Oryzias latipes: one gene and its partners. The protein of the gene in region 2 interacts with the protein of the main gene of each other region in a biochemical or structural test. Links are inferred from orthologs where the notes say so. Each region holds a gene or a part of one and is shown on either strand. Other genes may lie near its edges. The genes, in order: cs, heat shock protein beta-1, mapkapk5 and mapkapk2.

Region 1 (3,504 bases), on a different chromosome or scaffold from region 2:
TCAAGCTATACATATATATACCTATGTACACAAAGTATAAATAAAACCACAACATGAGAACCCACACTATATTTTTATACATATCAAACACCCCTCAAAAAAACAAACAGGGAGGGGGTTCTTTATCTGCTACAGGGTGGGAAAACCAATCAAGCAAGTGCTCACTGTTGAGTAGACGATGTTTAAAGCGCTTTCCTGTGATGACAAAGTCAAACCTACGCTAAAAATACAATAAGTCCCTCCCATAATCCCACGTTTCATTCAAGCTTGCTTTTAAAGATCACACGGGCTGCAAATTCCAAACACCCGCCGGCCAAATGTACATTACATCTTCTTCCATTCTCGTTAAGACCTTTCAAAACCCCATAAAAAAAAGAAGAAGAAAGAGTTAGCTGTCGTACGTCTACACAAACGAGTTATTTTGATCGTAGAGGTAATACAGGTCAGCTATTGGACAACAAAAGGAGATCACAGATTTAAAGGGGCAGTATCTTTTAAGCATATTTTTAAAAAAAAAATTTTTTTTTAAATCAGATTGCACACTGTTTTACTAATCAGGACCTTGTTTTTTTTAGCTGGAGTGTTAGTAAGTGGGAGTGAAATAAACAGATGAGATTTGATTGCATAGAAGAAACATAAGTTAATTTTTTTTTCCCCCGGACTTTTACTCCAGAAGAAAAAGAATAGTTGGCTAAAAGCAGCAAATGTTTAGTATATTCCAATTAAGCCTTTTTTTTTTTTTTTTTTTAAATGGCATTTAGTTTACTTCCATGATTCCCTTTGAATACCTCTCTGCTTACTCATAAGTCAATGTTTGATGGGAAACACTCAAGCAGACGTAGCTTGAGCCTATCCAAGGTTGAATGTCTGTGTTTGAAGTTTGCTCCATTCTTGTATTAAATGTGCAGATACAACAGGAAATCTCGTCAGCGGCTCACTTAAACGTTTCATCGCTAACGGTGTGACAAATTAAAAGGCCCTTCTTAAGTGAAATAGCATTAAAAGCATACTGAATCCCGTTAAATCCCTTGGGTTGGAAAACGACGTTGGGTCAACTGATGTCTGCCTTCTGATGTTTCTGAACCTTCCTACCCTTCTCACTAAACGCCCAGCTCCTCTCAACCAGACTTGGATCCAACCAGAGACATCAATCCGTCCGTGCTCATGGACTTGGGACGCTCCAGAGGGAAGCCCAGCGCCCTACTCCACACGAGCTGGGCCAGGACGCCGAGGGCGCGAGACACGCCAAAAAGGACAGTGTAGTAGTTCATCTCCGTCATTCCATAGTACTGCGCACACGGGGAAAGCAGAGTCAGACACCCCTCAATCAGGATTAGCCTAATCTTCATCTGATGAAGATTAATGAGATGTCTCACCTGCAGAAGAACACCGCTGTGAGCGTCCACGTTGGGCCAGGGGTTCTTCGCCTTCCCCTGTTCCAGCAGGACATTGGGCACAATCTTGTAAAGCTGGGCAACCAGTTTAAACATGGGGTCATTGGGCAGATGTTTCAGGGCAAACTCGCGCTGACAAGTGTAACGCGGGTCGGTCTTTCTCAGGACAGCATGGCCATAGCCCGGCACCACCTACAGTGAGGAAAACGAAAGGACGATCTTGTCATTTGGGGAACTTTCTGTGGATTACAGCTAAATGTTTGGAAGTATTTTCTAAACTCCAGACAACAGATGAGGCCAGAACTGGCTTTTAAACACAAATGTATACTGGAAGTGTGAGAATCCAGTTACCCGTCCAGATTTGAGGGTGTTCCAGATGTAGTCCCTCATCCTTTCATCAGAAACCTCCCCGCCCAGCTCCTTCTGCAGGGCGGTCAGCCACACCAGCACCTCCTGTCCACACAAAACCACACAGGCAGCAGGGATGCATGAGGAATCCTCATAATGACGGATCTACATTAAATCCTGATCAATAACGTCAACCGACTCCTGAATGATGAGTCAGCTATTTTAGTAAATAAAGAACAACCGGGCAAATATCAAGTAAACATGTTTGCTTTGGAAATACAAAATGTCAGGGTTGTTGCTACAATCAACAAACACGACACTTTTGCTGTGAGGAGAAATGGACAACGACGCAGAGGAAGGAAGTACCGGTAATCTTTACTTTAACAGAAGTACATTTGTGTACCATTCCATTCCAAAGACTAGTTTCACAGAACCATACTTTGACTTAAAGTAAAAAACAGTTACAAACGTATGAATCAGTTTATATATTTCTTCTTTTTTTTAAATAACATTTGTTTTATGAATTTAAGAAATGCTTGACAACATTGGAATGTGATTGATATCATCTGAAACCACAAAATGATGATTAGCCGGCATAAATATTTCTGCTGAGTCATTCAGCTTTGACTATCCAGCATTAAATGAACAAATCATGTTAGTGCAGAAAACATAAAAATATAGTTTTCATTAATTTAAAGACTGAAGAGAAACTTGTTGTCTGGGTAATTGATTTTAAAACAATGGTATCATTGCTTTTTCCATTTTTATTTGCATCTTCCACTGTATGAGAAGGAACTTTATTTTGGAAAACACTTCTGCAAAAAGAGTTTTTAATAAAGGTTGGTGGAAAGATGTTGATTTATTTGAAAATAGGATCATTTGCTATGATGTGATCATATTTTATATAATTTGTTTGAAAATATTATATTTTATAAAATCTCAACAAATACAGAGCCACAAGACCTTAAGTATACATTTCCTTTTTCACTCTCAGCTAATCGGAAAACCAGATGTGTTTTCAGAGGCAACATTAGCCAACCTGTATTTTCCCCCCCAACTACCGGTAGCTAGTTTGGGAAAAATACCAGTTAGACAAATAACTCTCAAAGTTAACACAAAACTATAAAGCTTATCTGCATCCTTACACTGAAATTGGTTAATGATTCTTACGTTTGTAGTGTTTTTTTTTCACAGACTTGCTGTGGCTGAAACAAACACACAACATTTGTGTTGTTCTGGAGGGAAGGGTGTGTGTGAAAGTTGAGTACAAACCTGATTGGCCAACCCGTGGAGAGGACCGGCCAGACCATTCATGGCGGCGCTGAAGGACAGATAGGGATCAGACAGGGCGCTGCCTACGAGGTGGCTTGTGTGTGCACTGACATTGCCGCCTTCATGGTCACTAAAGAATGAAAAGACAGAGGAAACACCAAAGAAACGTAAATAAATACATTTAAAAAAAAAAACATATGGAATTTGATTAAGCAAACACAATTTCCATGATTTCTAATTCATATTATAGCAAAGTAACACAATGTCAAGAAAAGAAAAGAAATGAAGACAGACATGGGTTTAACCATTTCAGTTCTAAAGCACCAGCTGTTTAGGAACCATGTTTTCTTTTATACACCTTATTTATACTAAATATTACTTTAAGATAAAGTTCTGAATATGTGTCTTAAAGTAACAAGAATTTTCCCAAAAACTACTCTGATGAGAAACCAACTGTCGATAGAAAACTTCGAAACTTATGGGAAAATGA
Region 2 (3,059 bases):
TAGATAATTTGCTAAAATCAAGATCAGCATAAATAGTGAACTTTGACCTTTTGTACTTAAAGAGAACTTTAAAGGGGGGGGAAAGAGCAAAACTAATTTAATTTTAAGTTTGTCTTTTTATTAATATTAGATTTGTTTTATTTTTGTTTTATATAACTTTGGAGTGCTGTCTCCATTTCCCCCAAATTAAGGTAGAGTTTTTAAGAGGTAAAAAAATTAAGTTAAGTCTTTAAATCTTTATTAAATTTGCAGTTAAAACTGTTTTACAAGGTAATGATATAATATTTTCAGAAACCTCGTACAAACAATATCATACTTCACACCGTTTTAAATTTAGTAACAGTAAATTTTTGCTGCACAGCTACAAAAAGACTTTTTTTGTCTATTCTTTTTTCCGTGTCCTTGCCTAAAATATTGATCCTTACAATATACTGTTAGTTATTATGGGTTGTAAAAAATTGGTGACCTCTGACCTGTTTTTAGGTGTAAGTTTTCATGTTAAAAAAAAGTTTGAGCTGCAAGAATGAATATTGTGACAAAACCACAATCTGTGAAAGAAATGTATTTTTACCAAATTTTATTTCTGTTTCATTGTGAAGGCTGAAATTGCATAATACAATCATTCTACAAGAACAGTAAGATAAAGACCAGTTTATAGTAAACAAAATTTTAGTGCAAAATTACAAAATTAAAAAGGACAGCAAGGGTTTGTTTTATTGGATCCAATACCATTTCTGCTTTTTATTAAGTTTAAATTAGATTATAAAAGTCTCAAATCTCCCAAAAAGCAAATGATAACATTAAATTTAAGCAATCTAGTCTGCTTTGTGTAATTTTAATAATTGCTGCTATGCACAGTTTGAGCTACTTTCTGCTCACTATGTTCATTTCTCACTGTCCTGTGTCTTTTTGGTCTGAACGGGGATGACGATCTCATTGTCCGGGCTGCTGATGGATGTTCCTGGGACGGGAGCTTCTACGGACAACATTCCTTCTGAGGACAGGGATGAGCTGATGTGCTGCAGATTCACCCCTTGTGGTAACCTCGAAAAAAATGAGAGAACGTTTGTCACAAACAGAAATATGTTACGGTCGCATCCTAAATGTGTCTCGAATTTGCTTCTCAGCCTCCTTACTTGTATTTACGAGTGAAACATCTTGAAACCAAACTGTGTTCATCTTGCTTTTCTTCATGAGTTCCTTAAAAAAAACAGTAATTATTAATAAACATCTTTATGTATAAAATGAAAAAAAATTAAGCCTACGTACCTGATATTTGCAAGTAGCCATCCTTTGTGCTGATGGAGATCTCTTCGGGTGAAAAATGATTGACGTCCAGGTTGATCTTCCAGCTGTTTTGCCCCGTTCTCACCTCAGACACACCGCTAGTCAGTTGTCTCAGACTCTTCTGGTCCGGCGTGATGGGAGGCAGGAGGGGGCTTTGCGTGTAACCCGGCCAGGAGAAAGAAGCCAGTCTCTTTTTTGCCCAGTCAAGCCAGTCCAGATCATTGGGCTCCAGGAAAGGAGGAATGCCGAAGTCCTGGGCAAAAATACGGCTTGGCTGAGTCCAGTTTGGGAAAGGATCCCAGCGGACATCTCGACGGAATATGGGCCGGGATAGTGTTTTATTTTGATCACCCATGTGGTTCAAAACTCAAGAAAAGGAGACTGAAAATAAAAGCTCTTGCTCCCACCTGACAGAAAAATGCAAGACGAGATCAGACCAACCAAAACGAAACTCAAAAACTGTAAGTAAGCAGGAGGTTTGGGGAAAAGCCTATTTTGGAGTCCGCAGCAATCCACTCACACGCTTTATATAACCAACGGCCTCCTCTTCACACTTGTGCTTTAACAAGTGTGATGTAAGGGATGAAATGTGATGGGCCGGGGCGTCAACTCTCCTGTTGCCCTGGGACTCGGAGAGGACAATGCCAATTATGTGTATTTATATCTTTTGAGTGTCTCCGGTAAGTTGTTGGGGAATGATTCTGGAAGCAGGGAGAAGTCGTGTCATTCAGCCATGGCCTCTGCAGTCCCGTCACATACTGGAGCTCTTTGTCCACCGAAACCACAGCTGCATGTGAAGCAGCACACAAAAAGTCAAACGGTAAACACAAGCGTTGCTTTTAGCCTCCCAACTTAACTTAAGAGCAAAACTGCAGAGCAAACAGGATCTCAGGGTGAAGAAGATAAAGACGTGTTTACAGCTGGTAAAAACAGATGGAGAGAAAGACTATGGAGTTCTGGAGCTGGTGTGGAATTTCACAGAAACATCTTCATGGGTTCAAAAAATAAACCGAGCTTGAGTGAGATAAATTATCTGAGGAATGGCATTTATCAGGGAGGCAACGTGAATATTTCTGAACTCTGCTCATAAACATTTCATTGTTTATCAGGTTTTAATGTTTGACACACCAGGTTACAACAGACTTGATGTCAGTCTGCTTAAGAATGTTATTAAGCACATGTTAAAAGAAAATATTGCCTGAAGTTTAGCTGTGCTATTGCTAGTTTACTAATGAATATAAAAAAGTCTAAAGTGTGCAATCAATGAAAATATGAGCATAGATCAGTTTAAAGGTGTTTTAGGGTCATCGAAAGGAAAACGCTCTTCAGTTGTAAATCCAAAAATTCTTGGAAATAACCCAGAGTTAATGTGTGTGATAAGAAACCAAATAAAGTGAATATACTGTAACATTTTACTGTAGCTCACAAGTGCATTGGCCTCTGTAAAATAGTGTTATCATCCAGCTAATATGTATTTGTGCATTTGTGTGCAATACTTATGGTTAAGGTTAGGGTCAAAGTAAGGGCAAACTTCACTAAAGTTTATTTTACAAGCTTTGCATAAGTGTCTTAAATTGCAGAGTGTAAAAAAACTGGTAGATATACATATAGCAGCCAGATGCTAATGATGTGATGGATTGGCAATGTGCAAATACCTATTTTGATGTCAAACATTAGATGGAATCCGTTTTTTATCACTTAAAAATTAAAAAGAATACACTTTCTACTAATCAAAAAAAGGCCAAAAAAAAAGCTGGAATTTTAAAGGTTAG
Region 3 (4,275 bases), on a different chromosome or scaffold from region 2:
TGTGAACAGAAATGTGACCAAAAGCTCTCAAGAGGACCAATTGTCAACATGCAGTTGGGAATAAACGTGTCCTTAAAGTTTAAAAATGGATCTGGTCTGTCAAGCTTTAAAGCTTTACTTCCTGAAGTGGAGGCTTGAGGCTTGTAATTGGGTTAACTTCCTGTCATAAATATAAGGGGGGCCACTGATGTGCATAGATTACTTTTGTGTGGTAAAGTGTACATAAACTGTTTTGTGGTTTATAACTTTTCCACCTGCAAAAAAAACAACCTACTTTAATATCACTGTTGCTACAGACCTCATGAAAATAACTTTATATTGATCGGCTTCACAAAGTTTGATTTTTGCGTCTGATTTCCACCTAATTAAAAAATGCTTTAAAATATCTGAAGTCTTTTTTTTTCCTTTTAAGGTGAGTTTCTATCTTTAGTCTGCAATAAAGAAAGTACTAGATATGACAAACAGCTGCATTCCTATTCATTTTATTTAAAATTGTGTAAAATTAAACTTCCACTTTTGGCCAATGTAAAAAAATAAAAAGACCCCCATTAATCAGACGTTTTTACAATGCTGAAATTTTATTGTATTTTATTACAAAGTCAGCATGTTGAAGACATTCTGAGAAGGCAAACGGGGCACAAATGCATGTGGAAACGGAAAATACAGCCACTCAGAAAATGAATTTGTCAACATTCCCCCAATTTGAAATGGACATGTCATTGCAGTTACAACAGCAGGAGTTTGTTCATTCTCAGAGTGCAAGTTCCCAAAGGAAATCAAAAGCTACTGTTTCTATCATTTCAATGAGATGCTAAAAAAAAGGGGCAGGTTAACATCTGAAATTAGGATTGCTACTAATAAAAACCTCCAAGAAGATGCTACTAATTAAAAAAAAATCTGTAGTAGCTCCTTAAGATAAATCTGTTCAAATATGCAATTGTATTAGAAATGTGGAGCAGAAAACAGCTGATGAACAGTGCAGAACATGCTTATTCTCAATACTTTCGTACTTTAATTTGTAGTTTGATCAATTTTATGGGTAAATAAAAAATATAAAGAAGCTTTAAATGAGCTTCTGGCTATAACAAGTTTGCAAAATGGTTGTCCACACATTTGTATTCAAGTATTCATTAACCTCTTATTTTGTAGAAGGAAAAAAAACAGCCTTTTGTGGATTAAAAACAATAAAAATGTCAGATCTATAAAGAGTTCAGGCAGTTTACCCTGCTGCTGTAGATGTTGGCCATAACCACAGGCAGAAATAACATTCGCTTTTAATTGAAATAGGCTTTAAACATTGCAGTTAGATCTGCAAACTGCATATTCTTAGTGTTTCAGCTGAGATAAACGGGGGAAAAAAACTGTTGAACAAGGGCAAATGATGTCTCATCAAACATGGCATTAGTGTGAACGTACTTCAACTCTGTGACGAGTTGTGGAATGAGAAAAGGACCACTGTCCATCTTTCCCCTCTTCTGATTGACCTCTCTGTGATCCATTTCTGTAAGTAAGAACAATAAACGCTGCCCTTTGCACAAGGCACATTAGCGTGCAAGAGTTCACCAAAATAAAGGTCCATCAAACACAAGCTGTGGTCGTCTTTGAGCTTTCAGGACTGAAAACGCTCTCTCCGAGCTACATTTGTACTTCAACTTTTGTCACTTTTACACCAAACTGGAAAGATCAGCACACAAAGGAAGACTTTTTCTGCAGGCCTGTTGAAAGTAAAGATATCAACGATCCCAATCAGAGAGATTTCACTGGACAGCGGAGACGTTTGGCCAATGTTTGCAGCACTTCGCCTCGCAAAAGGTCACAATATGCAAGCGGAACATTTCCTGTTATAAAAGAGAGATGCAGCGTTTCATAAAGGGAAGAAAGACATGTAAAGCATCAGAGCTGCAGATGAAAAAGAGTAAACCTGAAGTCATCCATTCAGTAAACTCAACCTTCAGTCAAGTCAACATTTACAGAAACAAACTCGGATATGAATAAAATGAAAGGTCTGATTTCAGTGGGGAAAAGCCCACTGAAATGAAGCAGGGAATGTCCTTCAACAGTAACACTGGCAGATAGGCTAGGCTGCACTCATTCTGAGCGCATCTCCAAAAAGTTCACGTCAAGTCGGACTGCAAGTCTTCAAGATGGAAATCCAGACCCTTTTCTGATCTTTTACGAGAACAAACCCAACATCTGATTTTTTGTTTTGTTTTATCCTCTGAACTCAAGTATTTGACATGAAAACATCATTTCTGATCTGAATTCCAGCAACTTTATGCAAAAAGCAGCTCCGACGGTGCAAGCTTGACGGGACTGAATTTGAGGCGTTTCAAACTCGTGGAAGGAATTTAAAAAGACATTAACAAAAAATTCAGTTGATTTTTATTTGCTAGGCACGAACCTCATATGCTTTGAGAATCAAGTTTTCTTTAGATCTTTAACCACATCCTGCAACACCCTCAAAAGAAGGCAGAGACAACTGGAAGCTCTGAAAAGGAGATTGTCAGCCTTCTTTTTTTGCCAAACATAGACACTAAATAAGCCGTATAAAGTTCATACTTGGCTTTGATATGTTCGTATAGGTCTTTTACAAGCTTTAACCCATTAAAATGACCAGATGCGACAGACGCATGCATCTTTTTTTTCCCATAAAGGGAGACACATTTGCATGCTTTTATCTTTCTAGCCTGGTAAAAATACAACAATTTTTTTTCCTTTGTATACTTAAAAAAACAACTTTTCATAGAAGATTTGCGTGTTTTTTTTTTTAGTGGGGCTGTTTCAGAAGATTAAAACAAGTGATTGAAACAAGATGACACTTTTATGCGTCTGCTCCTCCTCGTCATCTCGTTAAAAAACAAAAACAAAGAAAAAACAACCGATATGAGGACCAAATGTGCGGAAGAACAGTCACATTATAGACAGCTTCTCTAAACTGTAGAGCACACTACCAACTACATGACATGTATAAAAGATTGGAATTTTGTTTCAATAAATAAAACTAGTAGGATGATTAAAATAAAATAACATCATGAAATATTACCATCAAATGAATGACATTGAATATGAGCAGCTAATAAAAATTCCCTCCCCAAAAATAATTTCTTTCACAGATTTCCGTAGGGTTTTTTTTCTTCAGTTTTTTTTCTTTGAAAAAAGTAAAATATATACTATTTTCATTGTTCTTTGCAATTGTCCTTTTAAAAAAATCAAAGTACCAACAAGTTCTCTGAAATGTATCTACAGCTGTACAATAGCTCTTGCGATAGATCGACGTTGTCTTGCAAGTGAGTTTATGAAAGAGGAAAAAAAAGGAATAGCGCATCATTTTGACATTAAAAAAAAGCCTTTGTACAGATATGAGTTTAAAAAAAAAAGGATAATAAACAATATAAAAGGAGAAGGGGGGTAGAAAGACAGCTTCTTTTTTTTTTAGTGAGATTCTTGAAGGTTTGTCTTCTCTTCAATGGCCAGCTTGACGATTTCTGCCAACTTCAAACGATCAACTTTATCAGAAAAGGCCCGTCCTGCAATGAAAACACTGGTGGTCAAAGACTTGCTCAGTCCTTTGCTCTGATCTCCCTCAGTTTGGAAAAATATGGAGGAATTGGCTTTAAGGAAGACATTACAGAGTCTGCATTGAAAGAACCACTCAGATTACATTTTTTGGGGTTTTTTAACATGTTTTTGTGGCATTTGTCTCACGATAGACAACACATATCAAGAAAATGAAGCTTTAAATGGCATTTTTGAGTATTTATTTATTCAAATGTTGTGAATCAGAAGCAAAGGAAAAATGCTGTTGACATTCAAAAGAGCTAATTTCGAAAGAACTACTGCCGCTCTGTAGAAACTATGTCCTAGAAAACGACACAGATTTTTTATTTTTATTTTAGCTAAAATCGCAAAAAAAGATGATCGGAGTGGGTCTTTAAATCTTTATTTTGATATAAAAGTCTTCTGGAGATAAATGTGCAGAAACCCACAACATGGACGGCTGAGAAAACCTTTGAGTTTCTTTTAGGATTTCGTTTGGAGATCTCTCCCAGAGTCTCTGAACTAAAAGCACATAAAAAAACGAGGAATAAAATGTATTTTTAGGATGAACTACAACTACTGACCGTTCCAGCTGAGCCCCTGCAGGCTGTCTCTCAACAGCTTGCAGTCTCTGTTGAATCTCCAGGCTTCAAACATCACCTCATTCAGCTTTTCATCCTTGTTCTCTCCTGGAAAAGCAGAAGCTCTCACTTGCAACTGACTCACACTTGTATTTCA
Region 4 (4,018 bases), on a different chromosome or scaffold from region 2:
ATAAATATTTGGACGAGTGTACAATAACTTTTTCATGATAAATTTCAACAGCTAGTTTATTAAGGCTCCATATTTAGAATCCACAATAAAGATCCATATGCTCAACTGTAAGTTTCTCCAGTTTCTTCATGTTACTGACAGTCCAAAAAACACAAATGGAAAGAAAAATATTAGGAAAAAGGGGGTGACGGCTAATGTAAAGGGTAAACGTTTATGGGGAGTTATTATGAACGCTTTTATACAGCAACACTGACACAAAACATAAAAAAATGAAGTTATGAAAATAATATAAAGAGCAAACTAATGGACTGCTATGGATGTATTCAAAACATTACACAGTCCACAATAACACTGCATGCCACCTATAAACACGCAGAGACGTGCACTTCAGTGGTCATCAACTACACCATAAGTGCCATTCTACCCCAGCTGCAACCTCATAACCCTTGTGCTATCCTAAGCACTTAAACGTTTGGAGTTGGGTCATCTAGACCCACTAGACAGTGCTCTGAACCTTTTTTCTTCAATGATCTGTGATCTTCATTGGTGTCCATGGATTACATGAAATCTTTCCACCTTTCTCCACCTTTGTCATGGTAGGAATAACACGTCAAGGTAAGGGAGGGGTCATCTAAGATAGCACAAGGGTTAAGTCGACACCAACTTCCAAGCATTAAAGCTTTTGGCCTTTCAGCTCTTTGAACAATGCTTCCTATTTAGTGGTGCACAAAGTGACCGAAGAAATGTTTCCACTGAACGGCAAACCCACAGAGCCAGTTTGTTAAGGTGGTTCGTTAAAAGTATGCTATTTTAAAAGAGAATACTACAACACAGATCTTAAGCTTCAACTCTCAGTCATCTCAGATGCCTTTTTGTATTTTAAACTGTGGACTGAGCTTTATATCAAATGTTTTGCTTTGTTTACTGACCACAAAATCAAAACTATGCAAACAATCAAGATAGTATTGGTTTGCATTTGTAAAAAACAAAAAACTGCAGTTTTAACCTATACAAATAATGATGACCTAATTCCTTACTGCAGATCACATTCCCACAGATAAATTCTACTTCCCTTTTTGTACTTATATATATTGAGAGTAGAAGTACTCACTTGTGACATTATGGGAGTATGCATACATAGTTGAGCTTCTCACAATCTACCAACCCTTAAACACAAATTACACACCAAGCAGGAGTAACCATAGTTTGTGTTTATAACTGGAAAGCAGAAAGTTGTGACCGTAATTTACTACTTTAACTAGATCTGTAACATTTTCTTTGGTGGTGATTTACTATTGTTTATTGTTCACAGTTTACGCAAACTGCCCTCACCAGGAGTTAAAACATACAATAATAGAATACATTCTACTGTGATATGTGTGATAACACCCGTGTGTGTGTGTGTGTGTGTGTGTGTGTGTGTGTGTGTGTGTGTGTGTGTGTGTGTGTGTGTGTGTGTGTGTGTATCTTTTAAGATATTTGTTGTGTATTAATAATTACCCAACACAAAATGTCCACTAAAACCAGTAGAAGACACAGACCAAAATATGGTTTTGTATTGTTTAGTCTAAAATGTTACTTTAAAACTGGTTTGCTGAAGTGAAGAAAATAAAAATAAGAATTAAAGAAATAAAAATAAATAAAAATAAGGATAAGTAGCATTTAGATTTGACGTGGGATGTTTGTTTTTTTGTCCTGTCTGTAATGACTGCCAAGTCTGGGATTTGAACCCCCAGCTAATTGGCTGACAGACAGCAGCTCTACCCAATAAGTTACAGCCAAAAAAATAATTGTATCTCTAGAGATGTATTGTTGTTTTACTGTTGAGACAATGTAAGGCCAGAAGCCATAGAACCACAGACAAGTTACCTGGGATTTGAACCCTTGGACAACCAATTGGCTAAACGCTTGACCCACAGACAGAGCAACAGCAACCCCATCATCATCAAGACTTGTGCAAAACCTCAAAAGCTGTTTAGTCTGAGCTGTGAGAGCCTAGTAGTTCCCACATGTGACAACGTCAGAAACTAGGACCCACCGAAACTTAGACCTACCTTCAGCGCAAACTTGTCGCCGGTCTTCTTGTGGAAGATTTCCAGCACTTTTCCATTGATGCCCAGCCCCAACACCTGGTTGGTCACCTTGTACTCGTCTGTGATGGCGTTCTTCTTAATTTGTAGGGTGGGTTTAGAGTGGAAAGAGACGAACTGGCCCGTGGGGTTTTGCTGCTCACCCGGGTTCTGTTGACCCGCCGGGTTTGGAAAGAGTGGTTGGTTCTGAGCGTTGGACAGCATGTTTACTAGTCGAGGCTGAGAGATGAACGGACGTCACCTCTCAACAATGCCGCTCTGCTATTTTCCTTTAAAACAAACTAACTCTTCCTTGGTTAGCTGGCCTTTGAGCAGTACGGACCCAGGCCCGGGGACTAGCTGACAGTAGTTGTGACGTTACAGGTTGGAAAAAAGTCAATTGGTTAGCCGACAAAAGCTAAACTAGCTCGCGGTTAGCATGCTAGCATTTTTCGATCCTGCCCTGTGAGCTATTGATCGGATTCTTGGCTAGCGGCGAAGCTAGGGGGTTAGCTTATACATCTCCGGGTGTTTCTGCCTTTTACCGGTTCCTCAAAGAAAGCTCCTGAAACTTTTCCGAAACATCCTCTAAGTACGCCACGGCGCCAGTTTTCATCGCAGGTCAAAGGACACCTTCCCGTTAAAGTTATCAAAGAAAACCAAACGCTATTGAAAAGACAAAACAAAAGAGGGGGGGAAAGTCCGATTCGCTTAGCAAAACCACTTCAGTTTCTGGTGAAGCAGACACCCAGCAGGTCTGTTGGTGACGTCACGGCGAGGGGGATGTTCGCTACTTAAAGGAGAAGTGAGATAGCAGGAAGAGCCGAATATAAATCAGACCACGAGTACCGTCAGCGAGGCGACACAACATGCCTCAAAGTCTAAAAGTGTCCCCGTTTTTTTCTGGATATTGGAAAATGGCAACAAAGTTCTCCAAACCAGCAGCTCGACTTTTATTTTGTAGCTTTAGCGTTTATTAGAAGAGACCCTCTCTCATAGTATTGAGGCAGCAGAGGGAGAGCAGGACAAAAATAGACCCAGTAATCTCTGACTCCATGAACACCATAGGTTACCTCAAGGTTAGGCGTTAAAACCTGGAATTAAACCTGAAATAACCAGTTGTCGCACTGTGAGAAGGGTTTTGGTTGGACCAGAACATTATTTTTCCCCGACAGTCCAGAAAATTGCATGCATTGGATCTGGTTGGAGTTTTTTGGGAGTTTTGCCCCCCGGTTAGCACCAATCCTATAATAATCAGTGTAATGCAAGTTAGTCACACGAATCCTGCATTGTTGTTTATTTCAATTACATACAAAAGTGAAACGTATAGTAAAAAACAAATGTCCTGACACTTATTTATAATTTATAATAAAGACCTATAATAATATTTGTCCCCTAGTGAAGTGAAAGAAAAATTGGAGCAGCAACCGTCAGCTTTAGTCACTTTATTCCATGAGAATATAAATGCAAACTATCTATTTTTAGAAAGGAGAAAACATAGACCAAATAGAGAACCTGTGGTCTTTGTGCCTAAAAAGATAAAACAAAAAATTCCACCAAATATGATCAAGCGGAAGTGACTGCCTCTAGTTTTCAACAACAGTTAGACAAACAAGCGTTTGGAATACCAGGACAAAACTTACAAAGAACACAGACAGAAAATTCACTAAAGTACTATGAGTTCATATGAATTTTAAATGGCTTAAAACAAGCATGTCCAAAGTCAGGCCCTTAGGCCCTCATTCAAATTTCTCCCGGCCCGCCGTTTATTTATTTATTTGTTTTTATCTTAAGATTGCAAATGTTTTTAGTAATTATATATTTTTATTCATTCATTTCTCCTTCAAATTTGTCTTAAAAATTCACTCATGCAATATTTACATGTTGGAAAGCAGCACAAAGCGAGTTTTATTGAATATATATATATATGTGACTAATAAAATTGCAAT

The links.
Region 1: the proteins of heat shock protein beta-1 (region 2) and cs form a complex in vitro, tested with the Homo sapiens proteins (2 studies listed by BioGRID). The link is inferred for Oryzias latipes from reciprocal best matches to the Homo sapiens genes HSPB1 and CS.
Region 3: of the proteins of heat shock protein beta-1 (region 2) and mapkapk5, one has a biochemical effect on the other in vitro, tested with the Homo sapiens proteins (4 studies listed by BioGRID and IntAct). The link is inferred for Oryzias latipes from reciprocal best matches to the Homo sapiens genes HSPB1 and MAPKAPK5.
Region 4: of the proteins of heat shock protein beta-1 (region 2) and mapkapk2, one has a biochemical effect on the other in vitro, tested with the Homo sapiens proteins (17 studies listed by BioGRID and IntAct, with this or other methods). The link is inferred for Oryzias latipes from reciprocal best matches to the Homo sapiens genes HSPB1 and MAPKAPK2.

What each region holds. Positions count from the first base shown.
Region 1 is NC_019865.2:22,280,328-22,283,831, forward strand, and holds the end of cs (citrate synthase, mitochondrial), read right to left. Parts: intron 3,145-3,504; coding exon 3,015-3,144; intron 1,848-3,014; coding exon 1,746-1,847; intron 1,587-1,745; coding exon 1,377-1,586; intron 1,290-1,376; coding exon 1,119-1,289; 3' UTR 536-1,118; downstream 1-535. UniProt on the Homo sapiens protein: Key enzyme of the Krebs tricarboxylic acid cycle which catalyzes the synthesis of citrate from acetyl coenzyme A and oxaloacetate.
Region 2 is NC_019870.2:13,682,127-13,685,185, forward strand, and holds heat shock protein beta-1, read right to left. Parts: upstream 1,836-3,059; 5' UTR 1,643-1,835; coding exon 1,270-1,642; intron 1,201-1,269; coding exon 1,137-1,200; intron 1,045-1,136; coding exon 885-1,044; 3' UTR 561-884; downstream 1-560. UniProt on the Homo sapiens protein: Small heat shock protein which functions as a molecular chaperone probably maintaining denatured proteins in a folding-competent state. Plays a role in stress resistance and actin organization.
Region 3 is NC_019867.2:7,513,056-7,517,330, reverse strand, and holds the end of mapkapk5 (MAP kinase-activated protein kinase 5), read right to left. Parts: intron 4,227-4,275; coding exon 4,122-4,226; intron 3,528-4,121; coding exon 3,433-3,527; 3' UTR 555-3,432; downstream 1-554. UniProt on the Homo sapiens protein: Tumor suppressor serine/threonine-protein kinase involved in mTORC1 signaling and post-transcriptional regulation. Phosphorylates FOXO3, ERK3/MAPK6, ERK4/MAPK4, HSP27/HSPB1, p53/TP53 and RHEB.
Region 4 is NC_019863.2:27,980,404-27,984,421, forward strand, and holds the start of mapkapk2 (MAP kinase-activated protein kinase 2), read right to left. Parts: upstream 2,837-4,018; 5' UTR 2,295-2,836; coding exon 2,055-2,294; intron 1-2,054. UniProt on the Homo sapiens protein: Stress-activated serine/threonine-protein kinase involved in cytokine production, endocytosis, reorganization of the cytoskeleton, cell migration, cell cycle control, chromatin remodeling, DNA damage response and transcriptional regulation.